Linked DNA regions of Danio rerio. The protein of the gene in region 1 purifies or fractionates together with the protein of each later gene. This does not show direct contact. Links are inferred from orthologs where the notes say so. Each region holds a gene or a part of one and is shown in the gene's direction. Other genes may lie near its edges.

Evidence for each region.
Region 2: the proteins of arrdc3a (region 1) and itcha purify together in Homo sapiens (co-immunoprecipitation; 5 studies listed by BioGRID and IntAct, counting the BioPlex papers as one, with this or other methods). This does not show direct contact. The link is inferred for Danio rerio from reciprocal best matches to the Homo sapiens genes ARRDC3 and ITCH.

The regions. Positions count from the first base shown.
Region 1 is NC_133180.1:53,052,255-53,063,955, reverse strand, and holds the start of arrdc3a (arrestin domain-containing protein 3a), read left to right. Parts: upstream 1-2,062; 5' UTR 2,063-2,244; coding exon 2,245-2,524; intron 2,525-4,629; coding exon 4,630-4,711; intron 4,712-4,804; coding exon 4,805-4,952; intron 4,953-5,043; coding exon 5,044-5,146; intron 5,147-5,455; coding exon 5,456-5,712; intron 5,713-6,928; coding exon 6,929-7,091; intron 7,092-7,636; coding exon 7,637-7,779; intron 7,780-9,981; coding exon 9,982-10,050; 3' UTR 10,051-11,701. UniProt on the Homo sapiens protein: Adapter protein that plays a role in regulating cell-surface expression of adrenergic receptors and probably also other G protein-coupled receptors.
Region 2 is NC_133181.1:60,193,952-60,204,774, reverse strand, and holds the end of itcha (itchy E3 ubiquitin protein ligase a), read left to right. Parts: intron 1-3,462; coding exon 3,463-3,535; intron 3,536-5,463; coding exon 5,464-5,563; 3' UTR 5,564-5,718; downstream 5,719-10,823. UniProt on the Homo sapiens protein: Acts as an Acts as an E3 ubiquitin-protein ligase which accepts ubiquitin from an E2 ubiquitin-conjugating enzyme in the form of a thioester and then directly transfers the ubiquitin to targeted substrates.

The DNA.
Region 1 (11,701 bases):
ACTTTTAAAGTTATTTACTGCATAATCTACAGCAATTGGTAACAGTGGGGTTTAGATATTACTGTTAGTCTCAGCCTAGATATCCCACCAAGTAATGGCAACAGACCTCTGGCTAAACATATGTATGCGGCACACTTTTTAGGATGGGAGTCACAGAGGTAGTGGCCAACACAAAAGCATCTGAACAAATAAAGAAGCTGTCATGATTACATTGTTGAAAATGCTCATCCACAGAGATACAATAAACGCAGGTTTCTTAAAATTAGTCATAATATCTTTAAATGATGCGAGAGCTTTGCTTGAGGTAAAATCTAAAAGAAATGATTTAACTTGATTGCCAACTGAATATGGCAAAAGACCTCTGTGTAACGACAAAAGACTGGTTTCATTTCTATTTCGCTTTGGGTAAATGCAAATTCAAGCAAACATTACCATCCCCGAAATGATTGCACACAAAAGAAAGTTCCTGAATGTCAATAGACCTTCTGACAAATCAGACCAGCCCTAGTTTACTCCTCTCTCCTGACCATTCAATATAGCTTTCTAATAGTTTTAAAGTAGACAGAAAGACAGACAGACAGACAGACAGACAGACAGACAGACAGACAGACAGACAGACAGACAGATAGACAGATAGACAGATAGATAGATAGATAGATAGATAGATAGATAGATAGATAGATAGATAGATAGATAGATAGATAGATGCTCCTTTCTGTGTCAAACTGTAGCGTTTTTATTCTTTTTTTTTTACTAAATATTTTTTTCATTAAAAATACCTGCATACTATCCTTTTTCAATTATATGCACGTTCCCTTATATTTTATGTAAGTGTTTTGTTAATTATCGAAGTAGATAATAAATATATTAACAGCAAGTGATTTATTTGATAGCTGACCTGTTTTTCTTTTTCTTTTTTGATATTGATACGTTTTGATATTTATTATATAGGCAAAACATAAACGTTTAAAAAATGAACACTTTTTCTAGAGCCGTTTTTGCTCACATTTAACTATATTAGATATTAGTGGAGGGCATCTACACAAACATCACAAGAAACCATATGCTTTGTAATATGTGCGCTGTAATCTGGCATTATATCACAAAGAGTTAATTATTTCATACAAACCTATTACTTCTGAGTGGAAATAATTTTCGAATTACGTCCCACTATTGAAACTCCAGAGGGCAGCACAATCCACCTTAACTCGTTCACACACAAACGCTACTAAAGAAAACGAGCAGGCGCAGGAGTTTCTGTAGCCGCTGAGTGGCGCATCGGTTTGTACAACCTGTACCAGCATGTACTGTACACAGCAGATGCAGAATCTGCGTCTGTATAAACTGAAAGGGAAGTACATACTGTAACATACAAATGCATATACTTACAGAAAGTTATAAAATATTATTTTAAGCATGACATTTAGAGTCTGAAAAAATCTGTAAAATGAGCAGAATATTAAGTTAGTTGATGTAGTGTATTCATAATCTTACATACATTCTCATAAAATAAATAATCAGTTCAAATTACATTAGCATTATTTTTATTTAGTTATTCTATTTGTTTATGTATTTATTTAACATCGAGTCAAATATATAAATTGTTTGGTCAAGTAGGCTACGTTTAAGTGCAATAAGTAGTTATATAAAGAAAAAAAATTGGAACAATGGATAAATATATTACTGGAGTCATCATAGCAATAAATTGCCAAAGGTTTGTATTTAATGTTCATTGTGTATTATTCCCCCATTGAGTAACCGGAGCTCAGTTTTGATACATGTAACAAATGTAACAAACACATGGCACTTTATACAAAAAGTTAAAATAATAATGCAAAGCTAAAACTTGTGAATAACGTCTAGACTTCCACGTATTCTTTTAATACACTGCTCAGCTGTTCGCTTGTTATTTGTCCTGAGTCCCCGGTCAAAGAACTGCACAAAAAGCGGAAGAAGGGGGACGGATTGCAGCTTCGCGCATGCGCACTAACTTGTTTTTCACAAGAGCAGCGCTTAAAGTGAGCCGGTGGGGAGAATCTCCCCGTCTTTCATTGCAGACCATCAAGCCTTCGCCGAGACGTGATAACAGCATCCTTTGCTGTTATTCAGCTCTCGCATCTCAATGACACTATCCAGTGTTAACTCTTGCTTTTTTCATAAGAGATTATTTTCATAGACTTTTCCGTGTGACTTTTTTTTCTTGTTTTGTCTAAAGAACTTTGTACATTATCTTTTCTTGCCACCATGGTGCTAGGAAAGGTAAAAAGCTTCATTGTAAGCTACGACTGTCTTAATGACAGCAATGTCCCTGTTTTCTCGAGTGGGGACTCCGTCTCAGGAAGAGTTATTATCGAAGTCACCGGAGAGATTCGCGTGAAGTCTCTTAAAATAAACGCAAAAGGATTTGCGAAAGTTCGTTGGACAGAATCACGAAATGCTGGATCCAGCACTGCCTACACTCAAAATTACACAGAAGAAGTGGAATATCTCAATCATAGAGACATCCTAATTGGCCATGAAAGAGGTAAGCATGCCGATCAAACATGTAGATTTGTTCAGAAAAAGAGCAGATATGAATGTTCTGGTGGGATGCTCAGTGGTCCAGAATGACATGACATAGGCTTCTTTGGATGCTGCACAGTACTTGTTGACTGGTGAACCTGTAGACACTATTGTGTGCAGACATTTCAGTTCTTTTCACACTGTAATTATGCATTAATTTGCGGGACTTGATTGAGTTGTTTGTCAAATTAAAAACACCCAATATATGACATACGCATTCGTTCACAAGAACCATCTGGCAAAGATCATTTTCCGTTTAGATCTACCAAATGCGTGATGTTCAGCATCTCTTTTGTACTCTAAACAACATATCAGTATTCTCTCAGGTGTCAGCTGCTTGAATGAATGGTCAGTTTGCTCGTCTTGTACTACAGTTTTATTAAAACGATATTCGCATTCTGTGCTCTACCGCTGTATGTTGATTCTGGGAGAACAATGTTATAAAATAAATGCAGTACAAAGGCGTAATGGTACATAATTCGGTTTAATGTCTTAAGTTTCCACCCATTGTTAGAAGCGGTTCAATCCTGTTTTGATGCAGTGTCTAGTCGTTCTCTTCTCTGATTGGTGGAGGCGTCAACGTGTCTTCTATGACATCATGCTTTTGCGGAAAGTGGGGAAAACAGCAGCAACTTTGCACCAGTAGCTGTAGTAAGCAAGCGTACACTTATTATGGGGCTGAATTGAAATGCAGTCAAACGTTCATCAGAAAAAGGCCGACAACATATCTGCATTACTGTTCATTCATGGAGTTGGCCGGTGCAATTATAAAATCTAAAACGAACGTCCGATATCTTCACGTTGTATGTCTGTAAATACTTATTTGCATATTCATTAGGTCGGAAGTTTTATTGGCATTTATAGAACTCACGGCCTGGTTATAATAACTGATTCTTAGTTTCTATATGTTTGATCTGGCACCTTGAGTCACTCCAAACGTGCAAAAACGACAACAACTCAAAGAGACTCTTCGCATTCCAGTTTTTGCATCTGTACATGCTTTATGGATATTAATCACCAGACAGTTTAGTTGTCGTTTGTTGCCACACAACTTGCAACCACCGCTTTGTTCCACATTGTACTGCTGGCACCGAACAGGACTTCAACTCACATTACGAAATAACAAGTGGGCCAAACGTGGTTTTAGTAAATACAAATTGTACATGTTTTCCATAATATTTAGCTTGAGATGGAGAAACATTGTAATGTTTGCCTGTTGAAACTCTGTATACAAATCAGATAGTGCATGTTATGATTTTGTTAGTTGCATGCTTACTGTAATTTCAAAGAAATTAACTTCCTGTATATTTCGAATCGAAGTAATGTCTAATAATGTCGAAACAATGTCTAATTGTGACTTACTGCTTCTGTATGAATGTTTGGGTTACAATAAAGGTGAATTTGTTTTGGAAACTGATCGTTTTTCTGTCGTTTGTGATTGCTGGTGTGAGATTTTTTTTTTTCAATCTGTCATATTTTTCTCACGTGTTTTTGCTGAATGGGAGAAAAATACTCCACGCCGCAGCACACGCGTGCATTCAATGGGAGGCTTGTCCCTGCTGGTCCTGTGCGCGCGCGCGCGTTACCGCACACTGAATACGTAATGAGCGCGCCGGCACAGTGAAGCAGCGGGCTCCGGTTTAGGCCGGTCTTCTCTTGCTCGAGTCTGCCCTTGATTGACAGCTCCCTACTTGTTTACCGTGCCTCTGCTAAGCTGAATACAGTGCTGAGCTGGCGAAACGAAAGCCACCGGTGTTTTTCAGTGTTACACAAACAAATATTCGATTTTAAATGGTTATTTTATTTCACATTCACCTTCTTATGAACTGCCGTAGCGCTTATGAGTATTTTTATCTCCCTTTTAGAATAAACACATGTGACACAATGATTATACATGTTCATAATTCATGGGTGTTGAGGGTTTATGAGAATCAAACAACTTGGTTTATACATGTTCTTGATTTACAAGTATGCTCTTTGAATAAATTCAATCGTGTAATAAACAAGAAGATGATCAATGCTTTGGCAGGTAAGGTATATTTGGAATATTATTCTTTTCTGTTTCAGATGATGATAACTCCGAGGAGGGACTCACCACTATTCATTCAGGAAGGCATGAGTATGCATTCAGCTTTGAGCTTCCACAAACGTGAGTGGATGTGGCACCAGACCTAACATTTGTTCACCCGTTCTGTATGTCGTAATGCTTAATGAAATGTTTCTTTGTGTCGTGCACATGCAGACCTCTGGCTACCTCATTCGAAGGGAAGCATGGCAGTGTGCGCTACTGGGTAAAGGCTGAGTTGCACAGGCCGTGGCTTCTGCCCATGAAGACAAAGAAAGAGTTCACTGTCTTTGAACACATAGACATCAACACTCCTCTTCTGCTGGTGAGCGTTTGCATCATTTACATCCCTTTACTCAGCATTGGAGAATAACCATTATTTTGTATTCTAAAGTGTTGTTATTCTACTTTCACAGTCTCCGCAGGCAGGAACTAAAGAAAAGACTTTATGCTGCTGGTTTTGCACCTCAGGTCCAATTTCCCTAAGTGCCAAAATTGAACGAAAGGGTTATACTCCAGGTAAGCCTCCTAATAGTTTACATTTTCAATATTTTGCATCATACTAGGGTTTCTAAAAACTTATTTTGGTAATTGTTTATATTTTCTTCGATTTAACAGATTGAAATGTTTGTAAAATCTATTAATTGAAGTTACAGTTTTGTTATTCTGATTTTTATGTTGTATAAAATGACCAAAAGGCATAGTTGAATATATATATACATTTGTGTTTTTAATTTTATTGCCATTTAGTGCTTGTTGGATATTACAGATTTATTACAGTCTTTATAATTTATGGTACCTATAACAATACATTTTGTCTTCTCACAGGAGAGTCCATTCAGATCTTTGCTGAAATTGAAAACTGTTCCTCGCGTATGGTTGTGCCAAAGGCCGCCATTTACCAAACACAGACCTTCTTTGCCAAAGGGAAGATGAAGGAAATCAAGCAATTGGTGGCCAACATCCGAGGAGAGTCGCTTTCTTCTGGCAAGACAGAGACATGGAATGGAAAGATGCTGAAGATTCCTCCTGTATCGCCCTCCATCCTGGACTGCAGTATCATAAGAGTGGAGTATTCACTTATGGTAAGCCTTGTGCTTTTTTAAAAATGTTGTATTTATTTTAGTTTGTACAATTCCCTATCTTTTTTTTTATAACATAGTTTCAAACAGCTGAAAGATCGGTTCCTCGAAGGGCTCCTCCACACATGAAGCACTATGAATGATAATGAGATTATGCCAAGTTCTACCCGAACATACTGATAAGAAGATCAGCTTAGAATATCTAATGAAATTCAGGTCATTGAGTGCTAATGACCTATTAACCCTTCAAACCAATCTGTTACCGCTTTACTACTGTAATGGTCAGGACCAATGATGCTGACTTTTATATCTGAATATTAGAGTTTACTGCTTCAGTTTATTGCTCAATTCGTTGATATACTGAGAATGCTGAGAAGCAAACAAATTATTTAGTTTCTTGCCTTTTGGCAGAGGCTGTTCCTCTAAATTAATTGGAAATTCTCTGGCACAATGAAAAGGTCGTCCCTACTCAATTAAACAGGATCCTTGTATTCTTAAATGACTGAATTGACTTATGTCATGACATATTGATTATCATCCAAATATCGAGTCTGTTACAAGTGAGAACAAATGAGCTATGTACATTTTCAACTCTTCAAAAACTCAATGTGTATACCTATAAGTCTTAAATCTCATCGTGTTCTAATATCTTATCAATTTATGAAGAAAATAAAACACATTCTGTTTAACTTTGAGTACAGCTCTATACTAAGTGTAGAAGTACAGCGATATATAAAGAAGTACATGTTTATCTTTCTTTTTTTTTTTCATGTGCTAAAATAAATATTTTTAAAACAACCCGCAATCGTCCAGTAGTTGGCAGTGTCACTTATAAAGAAATACCATCGTACATTTCACCATTTTATATAAATAAAATTATATATATATATATATATATATATATATATATATATATATATATATATATATATATATATATATATATATATATATATATAACAAACTTGCGCTTTTAAACCCGCTTTCAGATTTTTTAAGCTTGTTAATTTGTAAATGAATATTCAAAATGCATAAAAGTTTTCTGTTGTCTGATATTTTAGTTTGGATGTAAAGTTTTACATACCATAGTTTTTTCATATTACTGCACAATACATGTTGTTTGCATGAGCTTTTGGATCTGTTTTTACTGTCATATTATTAAATCAACATTCACTTATTAAAAATAATTAACCAAATATCTCAATATTTTAATCTGCAGGTGTATGTTGATATCCCAGGAGCCATGAACCTGTCTTTAAACCTGCCCCTGGTGATTGGCACCATTCCTCTCCACCCCTTTGGCAGCCGTACATCTTCTGTGAGCAGCCAGTGCAGCATGACCATGAGCTGGTTAGGCATGGCCCTCCCTGAAAGGCCTGAAGGTAAGCAACATCTCTTTTATCTACTTATTTTTAAGGGATGTGTAAAGAATCGAGATTCTGCATATACTGTATGCAGCTCATATTATGGGATGCTTCTTAGACCACAGGCTAAGATTATAGACTGCTCTTCTAACTTGTGGCTTAGTGTTTCTATGAATAAAACATGCAATGCCCTATTTTTAATATTATCAGCCTTTTTTTTTATCTGAGCCTTTTAATGAATTATTTTTAAATGTGAATCCTTCAAAAATGATAGAATTCTTATCAAAAGTACATTCTAGTATACTGTTTTAGATTTTTATATTGTTTAAATATTATTTGTTTTCTTTTTATTGTTTTAAATCTTTTTTTATTATTATAGGAAAGTATCATTTGTCAAATGTGTCTAAATTTGATTAATTTGTGCCATGAAATGGTCTCTCTCTCTCTCTCTCTCTCTCTCTTTCATTGAATAAAACAGCAGTAGGGTTAGTTGAGTGCAGACAAGAGATGGGTAACGTGGTTGGCATGACAACAGTATTAACATTGGCTTGTATTGTCCTCAGCTCCTCCAGCCTATGCAGAGGTGGTCACAGAAGAGCAGAGGCAGAACTGTCTGGAAGTTTCGCCGGGGCGGGAGAACTATGATGGCCCGCTCTTCGCCTACATCCAGGAGTTCCGCTTTCGCCCTCCCCCACCCTACTCTGAGGTAAGCTTCGGGTGTAGTTTTGGCAGCTAAAGCTCTGTTTGCAACCTGTATTAAGGTGCTTTTTGTGGATCTGATCACAAGTGGAAAATGGAGGCACTTTACACCTCACACCTGGTGTTTAATTGTGTCTATTTTGTCCTTACTTCTAAGACGAGGGAGGGTCTTTTGGTGGGTATTGGCAGGTGTCTGATCTTTCTACATAATACTTAAACAAATGATGCAATTTTCTTAATTTGCAAGAATAAAATCACATTAAATAAGTAGTCTACTTTATATAATGATAGATAATTGCTTTATATTATTACCAGTTAACTCCTATTAGGCCTGCACACCTTATTCTGTTTTACAGTTTAAACATAGTTTTCATTTTCTTTATCTAAAATTGGTTAGGCGAATATATCTAAAGTAGGATAAACTGCTATGGATCAGGAATTGATCACTAGAAAAGATTATTATCCAACACTTGCATTATCCAAAGGTTTTGAGGCTTTAACTGGAGTCACTGAATGTTGCTTTGAATAGAGTAATATTGTTAATTACATTTAAAGCTTATTTTATACATAGTTCAAAAATCTATTTTCCAGTCAAATACACAGACCTTTTTTGTGCTAAAGGAAATTATTAAATATATAGGGCCCTATCATACACCCTGCGCAATAAGACGCAAGATGTGTTTGGCGTATTTTGTTGCTATTTTCAGACCAGCGCAACCCTAATTTTTATGCTTTGTGCCATGTTGTTTAAAAAGCAAATTCATTTGCGCTATTTTGTAGACTTAATGGGTGTGCTGGTATATAAAGTATGTGTGTTAAGGCGCATTGTTGGTGCGTTGCTATTCTGAGAAACTAAAATAGACTGCGCTGTTGACAAAGTAAAAGCTGTAGTCCAGCGCAGAGCGCATTAGTTATGCACCTATGCAGGTTCAAACACTTAATACATATATATATATATATACGTATATATATGTGCGTATGTGTTTGTTTAGTGCTGTCTATGTTTGTGTATGTGTGTGTGTGAATGAAAGACAGTGTGGTGCTGTGTATGTGTGTGTGTGTGTGTTTATACAGACAGCTTGTTATAGCCACCCCCCAAAATACAACACTGTGTATGGAAAGCATTGTCAACAATGCACCGTTATGCACCGAGATATCGAATTGAACCGAATCGATGGCATTATAATCGGAACCGAACCGTGAGACCAGTATAGGTTCACAGCTCTATATATATAAATATTAATGATTGAAAAAAAATGTTATTTAATACATACATATAAAACCATTGCCTCCATGCCTGTCGAGTTTTTTTTTTTTTCAGTTTATTCCTGAAAATTTGCATTTTTATTGTAATGTTCTTTTTATTATCAGTAGTAGTATTATTTATTATATGCATATTTTTGTTTTAATTAAAACAAGTTGTCGGGTTTTGGAGACGTCTGCATCACCATATGGGCCCTTATCATTATTAATTTATTAGTTTCCTGGAAATTAGAACTGAATTTAGTAATAGTTTTAAAACAAATCTTTGCTCTTAACAAACTAAATTAAATATGTAGACTAATGGATGTCTTTAGTGGAGTGCATGCAACACCGTTTTCTTATCCATGAAAGTGAAGAGTAAAAGTAAAGATGCCAAATGAAGGAGGGTCATTCTTTATCCTCATGCTGCAGATGGTCTGTTAAACTTTTTTGGCTAGTTAAGCATTCACTTTTTCCATTCAGTTTTTGCACTTACAAAGTCTGCAATGTAAATGGCAAATGCGCCATGGTGCGATGCAGCTGACTCTTAAAGTAGATGGGAAATGAGAATGTGGGAGATTGGTTTAATGCTCAACACCCACTCATAATCTATTAAGAGATTAAGCCCAACCCTCTTAGACCACGTACCATGGCGCAAACCATATTTTTCTGTCCTTAAATTAGCAAAAATGGATTTGGACATGCCCTTAATGCTTTTGCGCCATGCAACATTGCGCCTAGATCGTTTAAACAGAACCCATTGAGTCTAATAAGAAATCATTCTACTTCGTAATGTTTGAGCAATCCGGTCAAATGCACGTTCAAAACCTTTCACACCTGTACTTTGCATTATCTACTTGTGATCAGATACACATTGTGAACTAGGCACAGTATATTGTTATTTTAAACAGGTAGCAGCAGTGTTGATATGCATTCATCTCACAGCCACTGTTTCCTTCTCTATCAGATCGATCCACATCCAGATCAAGCCACATCAACTGCAGAGCAGAGGCTCGACACCTGCCCATCACGCTGAAAAATGCATGGCATGAGTCCAAAGCAGTTGGGCTTGAGGATCTTTCACTTTTGTTTATCTCCCGATGACAGCGATTGCTCGCTCTGCTGTCACCACTAAGAGAAAACAAACCTCTATGGGGAAAATCCAGAAATAAGGGCGCAGGAAGTCACTGGCAATTTACCCGACCCAGAGATTTGGCCCCCGTGGATGGTACACGCCCTGTCGGACTAAGCCTGCGGAGCTTTGTCAAAGTAGTCGATTTTCTCACACTTTTCAGTAAAGGTTGACAAAGAACACGCAGACCTTGTCCGAGATCTGAAGAGAAATGCAAGAAAAAGCAGCCATTGGCAGAACAGCCGAGAGAAGCGCATCATCTATAGTTTTGGACTTCTTTTTGCACAAGTTTCCTCGCTTGAGTTTGAAAATCACTCATTGTTTTGTTGTTTTCAACATCTTGGGGTGAGCCTATAAGAAGTTTTGCTTGAGCTGCACAACTTGCAAACAGCGGATGGATTTCGAGGAAAAAAAAAAACAGACTGATGTAATGCACTGATCTGGTTTAAGCTCTAGTTTTCATTGATCGTCGATAATCTGCTCTTGCTGTCTAAAAGCTCTTGCGATGTTGCCTGGCCAACATGAGTGTGGCTTTTGTTTTCCGTTCTCCTGTTCACATGGACTTTATTTTGGGTTCTAAATGTAGAATGCCTTTAAGCCAAACATGGTTTGCTTGGTGTTAAATTTGTTGCACATTTTGTTTGGTGGAAAAGCAACACTCTGTTCTTGCCGCTCATGTGCGCGATCGGAACAGAGAGATAAAACAGGGTGGGGTTCAGGCAGGCTGCCTGGAGAGTCTGTTGCCTTTCTGTGTAGCGTTTAGCAGTGCAGGCTTGGAGATTGCACTGCCTAAAAAATAAGCACTCAGTCTCAGGTGATCTTCTCACTTGCCAAATGGTGAAAACAAAACAAAGTAAAAAAAAAGTCTAGCTTATGTTTCAGTTGCACTGTTTCAGTTCAAGGAAGGAACTTTAGAAGGAAAATCAGATTCCATATTGACAAACTGATTCAATAAAGACCGAAGATATGCACAAAGATGACGAAGAAGGCAGCTTTCAAAGACTTCTAACATTCCCTTTTTGTCCTGCTACACTGGCAGACTTACATTAGCTTAAATGTTTCTTCAGACCAGTGAAGCCAGAAATGAAACAGATGAAGGCACAAATGCTTAAAAAGGCAAGCAGAAAGAGGACTCTGGATCTCGAAGTTGAAATGAGTTGTACATTTGTTTTAAAAACTCTTTCGACTAAATGTAGTTAGGCTCTGAAAATTCTTGGCCTTCATTAAGCACTTTTTTTACTATGTCTGGATGAGGTCTGGAGAAAGTTTGGCATTTAAACATTTACCAATGTAGATATGTAGTGTTTAGATTTGTAGTCCTAGTATACGTAGACTGATTCAGCATTTCGTTAGCGGCCTTGATAGAGAACTGATCTTAACATGATTTATCATTTACGTTATCCTCACTAATCATTATCTCGTCGTCTTTTACTCCTAGAGTTACTGTTTAGTTCAAAAGGACAAAAAGGGAAACCAAAAAGTCCTTTAAAGCAAGCATTGATTATGACACTTAAAAAAAAAAAAAGTTTTAGTTTTTAGTTATGGGTTCTGATGA
Region 2 (10,823 bases), on another chromosome or scaffold:
GACACCAACAACAGAAGGAAGGATCCAAATGCAGGTTTAATCGTAGTCAGGCAAGCAATGGTCAATACAGGTGTAAACAGATGTATGAGGGCAATCCAGAGTCGAAGTCAAAATAACAGGCAGATGGTCAGAGGCAGGCAGCAAACAGAATTAAATAAATAAACAAGGCAAGGATCAAAACACGGCAAAGGCAGACAAAGGAAATGTGTTGTAATGTCACTATCAGTAAACTTGACTCGGCAACATGTGTGTGGAAAAGAGGGGTTTAAATAGTCCAAATAATCATTGTGTGAGTGGCTTCAGCTGACTGGGTGTTGTAGTCCATAACATGGCAGATATGTAGTTCAATGAGTGTGAATGTTTGTGCGTGAATGTTTACCAGCGACATCTGGTGGTTGTTCGCTGGTGAACATGACAGTACCATACATATAAGGTAAAACTTGAACTAATCTAACAAAAAAACTGAAGATCACATTTCATATATTTGTACACCCAAATTATCATGTTGGGGGAAAATATAAATGTTTTAAAAATATTAATAGTTCATTAAATATTAATTCAATGTAATAAATAAGAAAATCAAGAGAGACATAAAATATCATATTAAGTTGAAATTTTGTAGTTTGTAATTTTTTTTTTTTTTTTGCAATAACTCTTTTGAATTGAAATGTATTATTTTTCTTTTATTGTCTTTCTGTGAAAAAACAAAATTCTGTTTCTGAAAAAAAAAACAGTTTAATAAAACTGATTTGTTTAAAGGGTCATGAAACCCCTCTCTTTCGGTTTAAGTCTACCTCAGAAAATGCTCAAAAAATGCTTCGAGATGGGCGTGGAGCTCTGCGGGCAGAGGGTGGAGTGGGCGTGGCCGGCAGAGGGTTGTTGCTAGATTGGATATGGTTGCGGTTGAAGTTCATTCATTCATTCATTCATTTTCTTGTCGGTTTAGTCCCTTTATTAATCTGGGGTCGCCACAGCGGAATGAACCACCAACTTATCCAGCAAGTTTTTACACAGCGGATGCCCTTCCAGCCGCAACCCATCTCTGGGAAACATCCACACATATACAAACACACACACTCAAACACTATGGACAATTTAGCCTACCCAATTCACCTGTACCACATGTCTTTGGACTGTGGGGGAAACCGGAGTACCCGGAGGAAACCCACGCGAACGCAGGGAGAACATGCAAACTCCCGGTTGAAGTTAACAAGAAATATTTACATTATTTAATAAATTTCCCATTTGTTGTATTTTATTAACATCTACCCCAACCCTAAACCCAGGCGTTACAGTAACGTATCTTAAATGCTGCTTAACACACACACACATCTGTTAAAAGACTCCTGACACATGAAAGTGTAAGTCTGCAGCAAACAACAAAGTTAAAAACTTATTGCGTGCCATATTTAACAAACTATTTCCTTTGATTTTTATGTAATTTAGCTCACATGGATAATTGAACATTAATCAGATGATGTCATTACGCTGCTGTGCTGTCAGCCAATCATTGCATTGCTGATCATGATTTTGAGGATTGATTGATCAGTCGTTCCCAACACACACATCGATCTCAGATCAGTTCATCCTGACATTTTAATCTGATTCGCGAACTTGTTTGACGAACCAAATTAGCCAAAGATCAGTTATTAAGATTAAAAGATCCAAGATCTGCCAAATCATCTTAGATCATTTAAGCGAGGTATGAAGAGCGTACCCCAGCTCTCAGAACACAGTAAACATAGTAAATGTCATTATCCGCACACACTTTATAATCTGCTGTTTTACTCCACAGAACTCCATATAAAGACCAGAAACATGTTTGCACAGGCCTATGATGATCAACAGTAACAATAACAATGCCACACATTATTTTTATTACAGTAACATTGTACCACACATTGTAACACATTGAACAGGGAAAACCACCAACAATGAAGAATGCATGATTACATGCTGTCATGGGTGTGCAGTCAAAAAATGTGATTATAATGGAAGTCAATGGGACAAAAACAGCCACCAACATAATGAAAGGGTAGTCAATTAGAACAGTACACAACACAGAAAGAGCATATATTTCTGTGCAAATATTTATGTTTGTACACCATAATTATCATGTTGGGGGAAAATATAAATGTTTTAAAAATATTAATAGTTAATTAAATATTAATTCAATGTAATAAATAATAAAATCAAAAGAGACATAAAATATGTTAAATTCTCAAAATAAGTACTCCAGGGTGTCCTGAACCTTTAAATGCACCAAAAATTATGGATAGAAATATTTATTTTTTAAAAGGGAGTGTACATATTTATGCTGAAATCATCTGTTTTTATCATTCTTAGTTAATAAAACTTGTTCTGAAAATACAAATAACAAATAAATAAACAAAAATGGCAAGTGACAGCATTTTTGTATTTAAAAAAAATGCAAATTATTTTTTCTGAATAATAATAAAAACAAAAAAATACCATATTATACACACACACACAAAACTATAGTTCTTATAATCATAATAGATGCTTAAACATTGACAGCCGAACATGCATTATGTGCATTTCCTGAAGCTGCAGAAAAAAATGTAACGTTTAGGGTAATCAAAATAAAGGAGATCAAATTATTACTAAATGTTAGGAAAATGAAGGGCGGCGCTGTGGGTAGCGCTCTCACCACACAGCAAGAAGGTCACTGGCAGGGCCAGCCTCTGCAGGGTCAATTGGCATTTCTGTGTGGAGTTTGCATGTTCTCCCCATGTTGGCGTGGGTAAAATAGTCTCCACATACTGTCTACTATACAAAAAAATGAAGCCAAACATCTTGGACATGACCATAGCCATCTTCTGTTGATGATGTCAGGTGGAGCCAGAACTGACTTCAGGTCAAGCACTGGAGCCGCATCCAATTGTTTACCCAGAGAAACCACTACTCACATCTTGTTTTGTGTTTATAGATTTACTTAATTTTATTTAGATTTTTAACAGATTACATGTAGTATATTTTAATTCCTATTTATTTTGAAACCTGTAACTATAGACTTCGATAGTAGGAACAACAAACACCATGCAGGCCAGTGGTTACAGGTTTCCAGCATCTTTCCAAATGTCTTTTGAAGAAACTCATAAGGTTTGGAACAACTTGAGGGTGAATGAATGTACAGATGTTTGTCGGGACGTATGTAGTGTATGTATGTGTGTGAATGCAAGAATATATGGGTGTTTCCCAGTGTTGGGTTGCAGCTAGAAGGGTATCTGCTGCGTAAAACATATGCTGGATAAGTTGGCGGTTCATTCCACTGTGGCGACCCCAGATTAATAAAGGGACTCAGCCGAAAAGAGAATGAACGAATGAATGTAAGGAAAATGGTTTAAATGCCATGTCGGTGCTTTTCACCTCATGTTGAAAAAAATATTAATATTGATAATAATCGGGAATATTAATCAGATTGTGTTTTTATTTTTGCAGGCAGCAACGGACCGCAAAAGTTTTGCATTGAAAAAGTGGGAAAAGAAAACTGGCTGCCGAGGAGCCACACATGGTAAGATCAGAAATCCTAATATTCATCGTTTTTTATGATGCATTATCAAATGCTGTTCATCAGTAGACATAACTGAGCAGCAATTCACTCATTTCTGCAAAACTCCCAGACTAAATATGTGGCAGTCAGAAGTTTAGTGGATGCAAACCGTGATTCTTTGTACAGACAAAATGATTCGCCCTCCTTTGGAATTATTATAATATTTTTTTATATTTCGTAAGTTCTGATTAACTGAGAGATTGATTTCTACACATTTTTAATAATGATGGAAAATGAATGAATACTGTGAGAGGTTCTTGCTCTGTTAAAAAGAAATGCCAGCAGCTGGCTCTCTGCAACTCTCACATGGTCGCCCACTGAAGCTGTGCAGGGCTGCGCCCGGTCAGTACATGGATGGGAGACCACATGGGAAAGGGATAAAGCCTAGTTCACACCACAGGATTTTAAGCCTGATTTTAGCCCGATTAACGAGCTCGCTGCTGGATCGGGCTGTGATCGCGAAGAAATCTGCGGGTGCTCGGCGCTCGCCGCTCTTTATGTGTGAACTACTGAACAACACATCAACGAGGCTTGCTGACGCGTCGCCGACACCTCGCAGACGGAAATCCAATATTCAGCATGCTAAATATTCCAGAGCAGTCAGGCGACTCAACCCCACGTGTGGTCAGATGTAGTGACGAGCTGCAGCCAATGAGAGAGCAGATCAGCATGAGCTGAATGCCTGTGTGTTAAGGAGCTCAGCAGAAACATCTGTGATTGGTCAGAATGGGCATCGATGCACTCGCTTCATTCTGCGTTAGTACAGACATGAGAGGAGGATATATTAACAGTGGAGCTAGAATTGTGTAATTATTAGAATTACCATACTGCTCATTCTGACCGTTCTCATATAAAACGCCATATAGCACAACATATTTACATTCAAAGCTTCTATTGAGATAATAAAATTAAGCTTTGAATGTCTGGCATCACATTTAATGACACCATTACCCTAAAAATATAATCTTTTTTGGTAATACAGCCTATAAATATGTAGTTAAGCTACTGGAACACGCAAAGGCTTGGCTTTCATTTCCACTTTCAAACAGGAGCTATTTCACAGCACAGAATATGCAGTTTTGAAAGATATCTGAAGTAAATTGATGTTTTTGCCATCAGAAAGTTTTGTTTATGTTAGCAGGAAGTTGCTAGGCAAGAAAATGCACACATATTTAAAGTCACATTAAAAAGTATCAGACATGCATGCAGTCATTTTGACCAATATGGTAATTTAAGGCAGAAATGCTCAGTTCTTTACTGTTTTGTAATTAAAAAAATAACAATGTCAGAAAGAAATACACTGATAGTTAGAAAACGGCAGGGTGTTATTTGTTAGTTTATTTCAAAGAGTTATAAAATTACAAAAATTAAAAACTCTCTGTGTATCTATCCACTCGAACATGCAGATGAGTGATTGATCCGCTGATGAATCCGCTGATTTGATGATGTTTTTAAATGCTTCTGCCAATGATTGAAACGCTGTCAGAGGTGTAATCAGCACACAAGCAGCCAATAGTGTTCAGCTTTTTCTGATGACTCCTCCCTCATAATTTCATTGGCTGTGGTTTGGTAGCTTGAATGAGCTGTTGGGGAATGAGTTGTTGTCATGTAGTGTGTGACCCCCCTCTTGTGGATCGTTCACGGAGTGTTGCGTAGTGTGAACACCACAGAGATTAAAACACACAAAGTCAGGTCATGTAGTGTGAACGGCACAGTGATCTGCTGATGTTTAAAATCCTGTAGTGTGAACTAGGCTTAAGGAGATTTCTCCCCCCTTGTGTACAGCGCTGTTAGTGTCTAGAAGAGTGCCTTATAAATGTCAGGAATTATTATTAATCAATCATTTTGTCTCTGTATATATATATATATTTTTTTTTTGACTCCACCAGCTTTAACCGTCTAGACCTGCCGCCCTATAAAAGCTATGAACAGTTAAAGGAGAAGCTGCTCTTCGCCATCGAGGAAACAGAAGGTTTCGGTCAGGAGTAAAGCATGAAAACATCAGCTCATAATCACCATCATATCAGAAGCTGCTACCGAGAGATCAGCAGTGTTTTCCTGGACGCTCTCCTCATCTCTCAGCTTTCTGTTTCTCTGATTTTCTCGCCATTCTGATTTTATACTGCCTTAGTTAAAGATCTGCGATGAAACAAACACTTCAGCTCGCTCTATGCACAAAACCTGCGTCTCAACATGCAACAAACTCTCTCCTTTCGCTTTTTTTCTTGAGCTTTGAGTTTGCATGTCATTTTTAGACACAGAGAGGTAGGATGCGTTGCACTTTATTAGTAAAACACACACACACACACACACACACACACACACACACACACAGGCGTAATATGCAACAGGTCAAACTTCAGCTCACAATCCAAAGAAGTTGCTGATGTAATTACTGATTGCATGGTGAAAAATGAAGCCTGTTTTACATTTTACATTAAAACTTGACATTATAATGCTATAAATGCTGAGTTTTTGTCTTGTTTCTTGTTTAAATGTTGAAAAAGTCTTAAATTAAGAGGCTTTTTCTTGACAAATAAACATGATTGTGATGTTTTTAGAAATAATATGTAAAAATTAAGTAAGTTTTTCTTTAAAACAAGCTTAATAATCTGCCAATGAGTTGAGTAAAATAATCTAAATGCAAAACATTAATTTGCTTTCACCTATGGCAGATTATTTAGCTTGTTTTAAGGAAAATCCCTCTTTATTTTAACATATTACTCCTGAAAACAACACTAGTTGTCTTGAAAATGCTCCTTTATCGCAGTATTTTTAGATATTTGAGCTAGAAACAAGTCAAAATAAGTAAGAAAGCATTTTTGCAGTGTCCCGAAATGCAATAAAATTCCATTCTCAATTCATTATTGTTTAAAAAAAACACAATTGCAAAAAAATAGGCTTCATGTTTAATGGTTTTTTAATGTGAAATAAACTTATTTTGATTTTCACCATGAGCTGTGACCTGGAAATGCCTACAGAGATGACATGTACGTACTGTATGTGGTTGAATTCACAACAATAGCAATATATTTCGAATAAAAAAAAAGACCAAAAATGCAATTTAATGTCATCAACACAATCCACTGTTAGAATATTGCCATTCCTGACAGTCATAAACTCACAAACCACTTGACTAAATGAACAATCTTAGCTGTTTTAGTGTTCACAAATCTGCAGCTAGCACTCTTTTTATACCTTTAAAAAACACACTAGTTTATTGGTCACACTTTACAATACACTACCTGATAAAAGTCTTATCGCCAAGTTTTAGGAATAACAAATAATAACCTCTAGTTGATCATTTGGTATCAGAAATGGCTTATAGAAAAGGCAAAAGCCTCTAGATGACGCTTATTTGAGCACAATAAAATATGATCATGTCCAGTATAGAATATAAAGTCCTGCTGCAGTGGAGACAGAGTGAATTTTGTGTCTGACTCCATCATGAGCTTGGAGGACTGCATCCATACATCTCTGACATGACTCAAATCACTGATTAATAAAGTCATCTGGAATGAAGAAGAAAACCTTCCTGCAGGACTCCCAGAGTTCATCAAGAGTCTTTGGATTCATCTTCAACACCTCCTCCATTTTACCCCAGACATGCTCAATAATGTTCATGTCTGGTGACTGGGCTGGCCAATCCTGGAGCAGCTTGACCTTCTTTGCTTTCAGGAGCTTTGATGTGGAGGCTGAAGTATGAGAAGGAGCGCTATCCTGCTGGAGAATTGTCCATCTCCTGTGGTTTGTAATGTAATGGGCAGCACAGATGTCTTGATACCTCAGGCTGTTGATGTTGCCATCCTCTTGCACTCCCCCATACTGAATGTAACCCCAAACCATGATTTCTCCTTCACCAAACTTGACTGATTTGTGTGAGAATCTTGGTCCATGCTGGTTCCAGTAGGTCTTCTCCAGTATTGGTGATGTTTGGGTTGCAGCTCAACAGACGATTGATCTGAATAATCCACCGTCTGACACTTTTCCAAATGATCAGCTAGAAGTCAAAATATTTTTTGCAGCTCTTACAACTGGGATCAACGACAAGACTTTAGTCAGGTAGTGTAGGCTTTTATTATTTAATGTATTTATTAACATGAACCAATAATATTTGTTCAGCATTTATTAATCATAGTTCATCATTAAATATTGCATTATTAAAATAAAATGTAAAAAAATAAATAAATGCATGAATTTACTTTAATTAACTATCATTATCAAAGAGGAATAAACACTAATAAATGTATTGTTCATGTTAGCAAATACATTAAATAATATTAAGTAATATTGTAAAGTGTTACCACATTCATTAATGCAAAAAATAAATAAATAAAATGTTCTTTAATTAAAAAACAACGATAATAAAAATAAAAAAATTGAACATTTAACATTAATAATTTAAAAAAATAAATCAAATGTGTGTTTGTGTTTGTAGAGATGTTGCAGAATTTATACTGAAGATTTAGGCCTGACGTCATGGATATTCAGTGCATTTCAGTGGTCTGTTTCTTATTCAGATGCAAAAAATACAAAATCCAGGACTGTAAATACTAATATACTGTTAAAAAAAAGGATTTGAGCAAGCTGAATGAGACATTTTCCTTATATTTGCAATTTAGAAAATGATTTTGATTCATTTACAGCAGGAGTGTCAGTCCTGAAGGGCCGGTGTCCTGGAGAGTTTAGCTCCAACCCTCATCAAACACACCTGATGCAACTAATCAAGCTCTTACCAGTTAAACGTTCATCGACTTTTGCTTTAATATTTAAAGGGCTAGCATTGCACCAGATCCCCTTAAGTGGTTTCGTTTGAAAGTGTAAAATCTATATTTTCTGCACATATGCATCACTTTGTTTTTTATTCTACTGTACAAAAGTTATTTACACTTAAATACAAAGTATTTTGAATATCCAAGCTGGGTATTTTACATTGGTTCATTTTCATATTTTTCATATGACACATGTACAAGTTATAGCTCAAATGAAAGCTCTTGCCGGTGCTCATACGGTTCTTGCATTCTTTTTGCTGAATTATATTCACATATCAAACAGTTGCCGAATGAATCGCGGTGTTTCCATGGCGCAGAAGTGAAAACAATACATTTATGATCAATAAGCAGCCCCAGATAGCACAGACAGCTGTCATCTCTTACCTTATGCTGTGCGCTTCAGGGCCATTCTCCTCTGTTTTTGAGCTGATGTGCATAAGTAATCCTTTTATATGTCTGATGTGCTCCAAACACAGTGAATTATGTTTGATCAAACAAAAGAATAGTGAAATATGAAAACAATGATCGCTCCCTGTGGCTTGTACAGCACCTCTCATCAGTTGGAACACAATAACTTTTGCATAGATTATGGTGGAGACATTTTTCTTTTTTCCTATGATTACAGACATGTGCAGGAACCACCAACATTACTTACAGCACGCTAGACCACACACAACCTAAAAGGTACACTTTCAAATTTGAGTTTATGAAAAAAAAAATACAAAAAGCGCCTCTTTTTTTAAATTTTTTATTATAGCACAGACAATATATAATGTTATTTTAAACACTTTTAATAGTGTTTAATGAAAATTAAAAGGGTTTTCTTTAAAATGATACCAGATTTTTGCATTTACACCTCTGCATGTGGATTTGGGAAGCTTTTAAATTTGGATAGGCAAAATCCAGGTGGAAATCTCAAAATAGCAGCAGAGTTTAACTGGTTATATATATATATATATATACGCGATACCTTCAGGCAGGTGTGTTGAAGCAAGTTGGAGCTATAAACTCAGCAGGACACCGGCCCTCCAGGACAGAGTTTGGACACCTCTGGTTTACAGGTTTTTATGCTGGAATTGAATCCATCAGGCTCTGCTTTATTCTCTTCTGTCTCGCTCCAGGGCACTTTATTTTCTAAATATCAGATGTTTTGCATTAAAATAAATGTAAAAAAATAAATGCTGATGGATACAGTCCATCTGAACGACGCACATCTGATGTTTAGTGTCGTTGTTGTGGTGTCTTACAGCGTTTTGTAGCTCTTAAAAGGCCAGACGTGTGGCTTCTTTATTTTCTTAACACTGTAAATCATGTTTGCCTGTGATCTACAACACATTAACGTTGATTTCATGATTTGGATTATATTTATTTTTCTTAAGTGAATGTGTACAGTTGAATGATTAATATAAGAGTACTGTTTTATTCTCAGCTGATGAAATAAAAAATAAGAAGTGCAATATAAATGTGTTGCTTCTTTTATTCTTGCTATGCTGTTGTCATTTGTTTATTTATTACACGACCTGAATTAAATATCCATTCAATTGGCTTTATTTTGGGGAAATGAGTTAGTAAAAAGCAGCAGATGTTATATTGAATTTTAAGATTTGTTTAGCTGTTATTCATATGCATTAATTGAAAGATAATAATTAATATATAATCATTCACACTAATGTAAAGTAACACATTACAAATACTCAAATTACTGTAATTGAGTAGTTTTTCTCAGGAATTGTAATTTACTAAGTCGTTTTATAAATGTGTACTTTTACTTTTACTTACTTTTTACTTTACTTGCATTTTTAGTGCTGCATTGGTACTTTTACTCCACTGCTTTCCTTCAACCTGCAGTCACTACTTTATTTATTCTTGTCTATCGGGATTGGCTAAAGTAGAAAAATCAGTCATGTGATTTCTGTCCAGTCAATTCACACAGAGAAAGTAAATTGCATCATACTGAACAAGCTCAAGATATTGGCACTTTATAAATGCAGTCAAATTTTGGATGCATTAAAAATGTCCAAGAGATGTCTAAAGTCTTTACACGCAATAACCCAGAGACTGTTTATAGACTGCATGTCACGGATTAGATAATGAAGGATGTCGACAGTATGATGACTGAAATCACCAAACAGCCTTAAACAATTACTAAATGGACCGAATGAAGAAAGGAAGGAAGGGTTTGAATGAAGGACTAAACTAGTGAAGGAAGGACCGAACTAATGAAAGAATGACTGAACGAAGGAAGGAAGGATCAAACTAATGAAGGAAGGACTAAACTAATGAAGGAAGAAAGGACCGAAGGAAGAAAGGACTGAACTAATGATGGAAGAAAGGACCAAAGTAATGAAGGAAGGAAGGACCGAACGAAGGAAGGACTGAACTAATGAAGGAAGGACCAAACTAATAAAGGAAAGACAGAACAAAGGAAGGAAGAACCGAACTAATGTAGGAAGGAAGAAAGGACCAAACTAATGAAG